2 linked regions of the Arabidopsis thaliana genome follow. The protein of the gene in region 1 interacts with the protein of each later gene in a pairwise test. Each region holds a gene or a part of one and is shown on either strand. Other genes may lie near its edges. The genes, in order: RTE1 and CB5-A.

The links.
Region 2: the proteins of RTE1 (region 1) and CB5-A interact in a two-hybrid assay, tested with the Arabidopsis thaliana proteins (one study listed by BioGRID).

The regions. Positions count from the first base shown.
Region 1 is NC_003071.7:11,105,522-11,109,450, forward strand, and holds RTE1 (protein REVERSION-TO-ETHYLENE SENSITIVITY-like protein (DUF778)), read right to left. Parts: upstream 1,668-3,929; 5' UTR 1,445-1,667; intron 1,097-1,444; 5' UTR 1,087-1,096; coding exon 220-1,086; 3' UTR 84-219; downstream 1-83. Other genes in the region: GLDP2 (glycine decarboxylase P-protein 2), read right to left, coding at 3,809-3,900. UniProt on the Arabidopsis thaliana protein: Acts at an early step in the ethylene signaling pathway. Positively regulates ETR1, leading to the negative regulation of ethylene responses.
Region 2 is NC_003070.9:9,111,644-9,115,572, reverse strand, and holds CB5-A (cytochrome B5), read right to left. Parts: upstream 1,710-3,929; 5' UTR 1,582-1,709; coding exon 1,495-1,581; intron 1,239-1,494; coding exon 1,172-1,238; intron 1,072-1,171; coding exon 818-1,071; 3' UTR 596-817; downstream 1-595. Other genes in the region: AT1G26330 (DNA binding protein), read right to left, coding at 2,053-2,150, 2,242-2,357, 2,531-2,875, 3,059-3,187, 3,307-3,525, 3,611-3,696, 3,789-3,929.

The sequences.
Region 1 (3,929 bases):
ATGTTTTTTTCTTAAGGGCCTCCGAATATGTATATTTTTTTCCTTTACTATGACACATCACCTCTAAATAATCTACGGATTAGGAAAAAGAGAACAATTTTTTAAGATTAACATAATTTTGGAGTTGAAAGCTAGATGGTGCCGAAAGGAAAAGAGAACAATTCTTAAGATTAACATAATTTTGGTGATACATCATATTTATATTTCTCTCATACTGCTTCAAGTAATTATGTTCTTAAAACAGTAAGTAGCAATTATGAACCAGGCAAAGAGTAGTAGCGAGAACGAAGAGAGACCGATGAGGAATGGCCAGCCGACAAGCACCACCCCCAAAGACGTGACCACAGCACATGGCAGAAACGAGCGGACTACTGATGAACCATTGATCCATTTCCCTTTGATCATAAGTAAAATAGCAACATTCACCATATTCCACTCCATTGAGCCACCATAGCAAAGACGGTTCAAACAGTTTGCAACAAACGAATGGCAGTTACAAGTGAAGATGTTGTAGGTTTTATGCTCAAAGCTACGTGTGCTCGAGCTCAGTGCATTATCCCATGTACGCGCTGTTCCAAAGTCGGTGTGTTTGAATCCATACTTGCAAGTATGTCCACCCATATTTGGTGGTAAGCAACACTGCCACAAACACACACATTTGATAAAGATTAAAAAGTTCTTATAATTTGATACAAAACTAACAAAGTCCATGCATAACCAGATTCTACTTAATAAAGAAGCAGATACTAATACCTTGGTTCTATCGAGTTGGAGATAGCGAGCAGGAGGACCAAATGCAAAATCATCAACATTGATGAAGTTAGATCCAGCAAAGTCCAAAATGACTCCATCTTCTCTGCAAAGTCCAATATGACCAATGAAAGGAGCCAACCAAGAGACAACAGGAAGAGGAGTCCAAACTATACAGCAAGGAAATTTCGACTTCTTGGTATCAATCTCAGGTAGTGGCCACAGATCAGCCTCATCAGCTTCGATTATTGATGGTATAGACACGGACACCACCCTGTCTTCAACATCATAACTTCGTTTCAGGTCCATCATAGGAACTCCTCTTCCACGTGACATTTTTAGATTCCTAATCACACAAGACAAGAGCAGTCTGATCATTATAGTCCAAACAAAGAGCGACCCATTTACTAAAAGAATCGAAAGTTAAAATCTTTTGATCAAAATGAAGCAAAAGTTTCAATCTTTTTAACAAAGCATGTCCGTATATTCATTCTCACAGCACTAATTGTGTAGTAATCTCCTAACTTGAGCCTAATTCAGATTTTCAGCATTGTGGGTTTCTCTGTAAATTTCACCGGAAACTAAACAAAACCCATCAAAAGCATTTCCGTAGAAAACAGTAAAAATCACAACAAAAAATCATAATGGAAAGCTAAGAAGCAGGGAATAACAGTGGACTGTGTTTTACATTTACCTGTCGGAAACTCCGACGCCGATGTCTGAAGGATCGACGCAGAGAGGAAAAATCGATGAAAGTGATGCGAGAGCTTGGAGAAGGAGAAGAAACTGATGCTTTGTGGAATTTGATGAAGAAAGAGGAGATTTTTATAATTGGTTTTCTAAAGTAACGCTTCTTCTAGTTTTAGGAATTCATTGAAGACAATGGAGAAAGGTACAATGAACCTTTGGTTGTTTATCAATTACTGCACTGTCTTAATTTTATTATTATATACTAAGTTAATTATTTTAAGGAAAAAGGGACGTTTGCTTTATCAAAACTTTGAACAAAAAAAAAAGATCTACGAATTGCAGTTTTACTAGAAAATTTTGAAATATTTGAATATCCTTCTCAATTGCAGTTTTACTATCAGAATCCAGAGCTACGAAATTATAAAATTTGTATTTTCAGTAATAAAAGCTCAAATACTGAAGAGAATCCAATGTTTTTTTTTTGTAACAAAGAAACCGATGTTTATATATTTAGTTTCCGTAAAATTTGGAGTCAATCTATAAAACTCAAATCTCTTGAACGATTATTTCTAATTTGTCGTGTTTGATTACCGTTGTCGTTATTCATTATGGTTGGATAAATGAACACATGGAAACCTCAATCTCTATTATAGGTATAGAGTGACATCGTATTTATGACAATTCGACAATTGTTTATGTTTTTCTGTCGGACGTAACGGTTTTAAGAATCGAGAAAACTTTCTTGATTTAGGGTCCTTGCATCTATCATTCGTGTTTGCCTTTTTGAGACGAATCATGTGCATGCGAGTCAGATGATCTGACAACTGACAAACAGAGAATCCGATGTTTAAATATTTAGTTTCCGCAAAATTTGGAGATGACTTATGAAACTCATAACTCTTGACCGATCAATCTTAATGTGTCTTATTGATTACCGTTGTCGTTATTAATTATGGTTGGATAAATGAACACATGGAAACCCTAATCTCTATTATAGGTATAGAGTGACATCGTATTAATTAATAACAATTCGATAATTGTTTATATATGTCTGTCAGACCTAACGGTTTTGAGAATCTAGAAAACTTTTTTTATTTAGGGTTCTTGCGTCTATCACTAGTGTTTGTCTTTTTGAATCAAGCCACATATGCTTTACAAGGTTGATTTGTTCTTAAGAGAAATGTCAGGTGCTCTAAAATAGTGATAAAGCGTAGGATAGATGAGTTGTTTGCTAGAGAGGTAACCGAACAGGGCTCGATGAGAATATGCTCCTTTAATCACCTTTCGGAAGAAAAAAAAAAACAAGCATTAGTATATAGGATAGGAAAAAATCATTATGAGGTTGGTCCTCTCAAAGATTCAGTGAGAGTCTAGTTAGAATGAATTAATGTGGCTATACAGAAAATCTATTTTCTGTGAGGAAATACAGGTTTTGGTTCAAGGACTTAGGGCATCTCTAATGATGACCTCTATATTTTCCTCTATTTATAGAGGTGACCATTGGAGATGGTTTTAGTATAGGTGATCTAATGTCCAATCTGATATTTAGTAGAATAATGCTACAAGTCTGATTAGTGGCAATTGAAAAAATTAGCAGAAACATAAGAGCATCTCCCATGTCCTACCTTTATTTTTTTTCACTATTTTAGAGTTGATTTTGTTCCAATGTGTGTCTCTAAAATAGAAAAGATTAGCATTGGTTAGAACTGCTTTTTGTTTTTTTTTGGCCAAAATGTAGAAAAGTGAAATTAAATTTTAACTCTACCAAGTTCCTAGTTTTCTTTGGAAAGGAAGTTCAAGTTGGTATTAAGCTTTTTTTTATAAAAAAAAATCTAACTCTACCCAAAGGAGAGAGAAAAAATAACTACTTCAAAATTTAGATTCCTTTCCTTTAATATTTGGTTGTTTCTTTCACTAAATTTTTTTGTCTCCTTCACTTCCACTTTTTACTCTACATGCAACCATTCAGAACCTATATGTTGTCAGTCAGTTTGTTTATAAAACCTAGAATTATGGTTATTTTGCCAAATTTCCTAATTATAAAATGAAACAATAAATATCCTAAGAATTCAAACTTTTTTCAAAGAGATCATATGGCATAAATATAACCACGATGGTGATCACATCATCCAAATGGAATGTTATACGTATAAGAAAGTGGAACATAAAGAAATGTATTTTATTAAATAAATGAGGGAAGAACTTAGGACTACGTATGTACATTGTACAGGAAGTGAAAGTGAAAGTGATGATGAGGCTGGGAAGAGAAGTAAAAGCCAGTAAAGATACGTTTCTGGATCCGGTATGAGTCCGAATCGCCCCATTGTGGGTTTTGGTGCGAGTGCGAATCGCTTCATAGTGGCTTCATTTAAGCAGACACTGCAGCTGCAGCCTGTTCTTCGTTCGCCGGTTGGAGAGTGCACACCAGATTACGGTCTCCATACACGTTGTCCACTCGCCCTGTTTCACACATATTTAATACATTTTGA
Region 2 (3,929 bases), on another chromosome or scaffold:
AAAATTTTGGTTGTTATTTTCAATCAAGGAGAGTAACACAACTCAAAAAACAAAGGAGTGTTGTTGCAAGAATTAGACAAAGCTGACGCAGACCATAATACCACCAGCATTATCATCAACAGAAGCCAGAACCAACAAGATCTAACCTGCAGGATTCCCTTTTTGGTACTGGCTGGTCTTATAGACCGTGGACAATTTCAATTCAGAAGCAATTAGCGATACATCAGGTCCTATAATTGCATGAACTTGAGAGGAGATCTCATGTACCAATACAAAGCAAAGAAATTCTACAAAGAAGTGGCTTTCTCAACTGGAACCTAGAGATAGAGCTACCAACTTTCAGGAATTGGGATTTCCAATCCTAACTAATATATTCTCATCGCTATATGATCATAGATCCACCAGTGTCTCATACTCTCTCAGTTACATATACTAAAAGGACAAGCAAGGAAGATATTTTGGTACATGTTTTTGGTCTTTCTGAATCAAATCGACAGATACTACATAATATCAATGCTATATAGATAACGTCGGCTTTGCGAGGTTATCTGCTACCAAAAGGGACGATATGCAAAGACTTCTTCTAATAAAAAGATTGATACCAGCAAACCAAACCATCCATTAATCATATATAATCATATCGATAATAAGTGTATTGAAACATGATCTCAACTCAAAATCTGATAAAAATGAAAAATAACAATTATCTCTCTATCATATCTGTTATTCAAAAAATCTATAATGGGGGTGTAAAGTTGATTCCCCAAGTAATTCAATATCCCAGAGCATATCAAGGTAAGAAAGAGACTACTACTTATTAAGTCTTGCGAGAGAACAAGACACTAACCGCTACAGAGATGGTGATAATGGAGACAGGAACAACCCAATACTGCTTTGTCAAGTCAAAAAGCTTCTGAACAGAGTCTTGTGGCTGGTCCTTCTTGTAGATCTTAAGCTCAGGTATTTCCGGTAAAGAAGATTCATCTAGCTCGCCAATAAAATACTTCTCCATAAGTTCCCTAGCATCTTTGCTGTGCCCTGCGTCTTCAAAATCATCCGTTGCATCTTTGCCTTCAACAACAACATCATCACATTTACTTGGATTAGAGTAGAGACAACAACAGATCAGTCATTTAGCAAGGATGGGCAAGAGGAAGAAGAAGAAGCTTACCTGCGACAGCAAGAAGCACATCATCTCCTCCAGGATGCTCATCCATATAAGAGGATACATCATAGACCTGTAAAGAGAACGCATCAGCCATATCATTTTCTTGGGGACCAAGATTGTGAAGTCAACACATTATCAACAAAAAAAAAGAGGAAGAAGATTCTGATTAGCTCAATCTAACTACATATAAACAGCAATTACAAGATTCTTCATTAGATTCTATAGGCAACAAGACACAGATATGGTTTCTGAAAGCGAAGGAAACTTCAGGATTCACAAACACATGAACAAGGATTGAAATTAGAAGATTGAGAAAAAGAGTAGACCTTGCCGTCGATGACGACCCAGCAGTCATCTTGCTTGTTGTGAGTTGCGGCTTCTTCCATGGAATAAAGCTTTGTGAGTGTCGGCATCTTCTTCTGAAACTGAGTAGCGAGCGAAATAGCGAATGGTCTTTGATTTTTCTCTTTTTGGGGGTTTTAGGTTTGGTCGACCACGCGAAAAGATGAGCAGACTAGAGGAGAAAGATAATAAGAGCTAGAGCCCTCTCAGCAACGACGTCGTTTAATTTAATTATTTATAATTTCATATTCTTAATTCCTTTTTGGAAAATTAGCAAAAATGGAATAAAAAATTACTGAGAAATCAGAAATGCCTTGTAAGTTGTAGCAACGAATATACATAAAAGATTTATTTATCATCATTTATCATTTACATCTTCGTACAATTTTTTTTAACTAGATTAGAAAATTCTCAACTTGTAAGCCATATGGTAAAAGTTTACAAGCATAAAAACTTAGTTGACTTAAAAATGTAACCAAGCCAATTGAAGTCATTTTGGCAAAACATCTTTTTGTTGTTACCCTCCTTGATTGATTTTGAGTTTACTTTTCCGGATGGCAATAAACTAGGAGCTGACCATCTTCACTTGCTATGCATATATTTCTGGAATCATCAGTACTGATGCATGAAACTCTTTGACCTGACAAAATCCATGTAACAATATTAACTTTTGAGAATTGACTTCGTTATTTTCATGGATATATCTAGTTAAAACTTCAATCAGTGTATACCTTTGAAATCATGGAGAGAGCCGAGTTTAGTGCCAGTGGATAAGTCCCACATATACACAAGTCCATCAAGTGTGCCTGCTACTCCATGGCCAGATATTGTACCGGCAACATCAGCCCTGTAAACCACAAATCCATAGCCAATGAACCATGGATTTAGAAATGTTACCATTCATATACCATTTACTTCTCATATAATCCCCAAAGCAAAACTAATTTCTCGGAACATGGAGAAACCAGAGGAGCCTGAGAAAGACAGTATCCATGTAAAGAAAGAGATGTGTGATAATACCTCGGATCCAACTGACTTCCCAATATGAGTTGGTCTTTCACAAGGAGAGCAAGTCTCCAACATCTAACTGGACTTTCTACACGGTCACATTTAGCATCTGAGTCAAGATCAGTAGAGACTAAAAGCCAAATAGCAGTGTCTTTGACTTCAGCTGGAACCAATGTTTTGTTGTTGACCCCTTTTGAGAACCATAATTTTGTTGCAGCTAAAATCATGTCAACGTTATCCTCGATTGTAGAATGACTATGTACAGGGTGCCATGCAAACAAGCTCGTCGGAATGAACTCAAAGATCAAATTGCTGGGAGATACAAATCTTGATACTAGGCTTCGCTTCGAGATATCCCTAAATCGATAATAAACAAAGTTAGCAGGCCGAAACAATGGAGACAGGAAGAAAAAGATCAAGCAAAGTTGGCTGCTCCTCATCATTCCCTAGCACGGATAGTGTTCTGTAATTTAACAAAGAGATGGGCAGAGAAAAAAACTCTAAAGATAGAGGGAGAGAGAGAAAGAGGGAGCAAAATACCATATTGTAAATTCTCCTATACCATTATGCCCAATAACGAGATGAGGACATTTTGGTATCTTCTTCAGTTCCATGATGCATGATGATATGCAAGGATTTGCGAGTATAACATATTCTTCGGTAGGACCACTGCAAATTAAGGATACAAGAACATTAGCAAAAATTCCAATGATGATCCAATAGCTCCAAATAGAAGAAGGATCTGACAACTATTTTAAGAGAAGAGTAATGAACTCTGATGAGAGTACCTCCAATGCGAGTTCATGGCCCAGACAATAAGGTTTCCACTCTTAACAGCTGCAATGAGATTGTTAGGATCGCACACCACCACACACTGCACACTGTCATCTGCTTGAAGTTTTGTCACAAGAGAAACATGACCAGTTTTCACCTGGACAATCCTCACTGCATTCTCCTCAAAACAGGCTGATGTACAAATCAAACACGAGCAATCAGTTTCCCTCTTCCTGCAAAAAAGGGAAAATAATAATCTCTTAGCTAATATCTTTATTCTGTATCTCTGTACCATATGAAACAATAAAGAGTCCAAACCTGCAATAAGGTGTTTTGATGTTGCCAGTTAAAATAAGATGCAGCCCGTCTGGAGTGAAGTGCAAATTAGATATCTCGAGTGTTCCCTGACGAAATGTAACAACTAACAACTATTAGATAACTAGAGAGGAAAAACAAGTTTAAGAGAAGAAACTACGAAAAAGTTTAATGAATTTACATTTCCACTAGATTTGTCATCCACAATGGGGAGTATGGCAGGAGTGTGACCAATGATAGACGGGAATCCTTTGCTTGGTGCCTCAGCTGACATCTTGTACATAAACAGGGTCCTAACTCTATCTTCTGTAGCAAAGCTCAA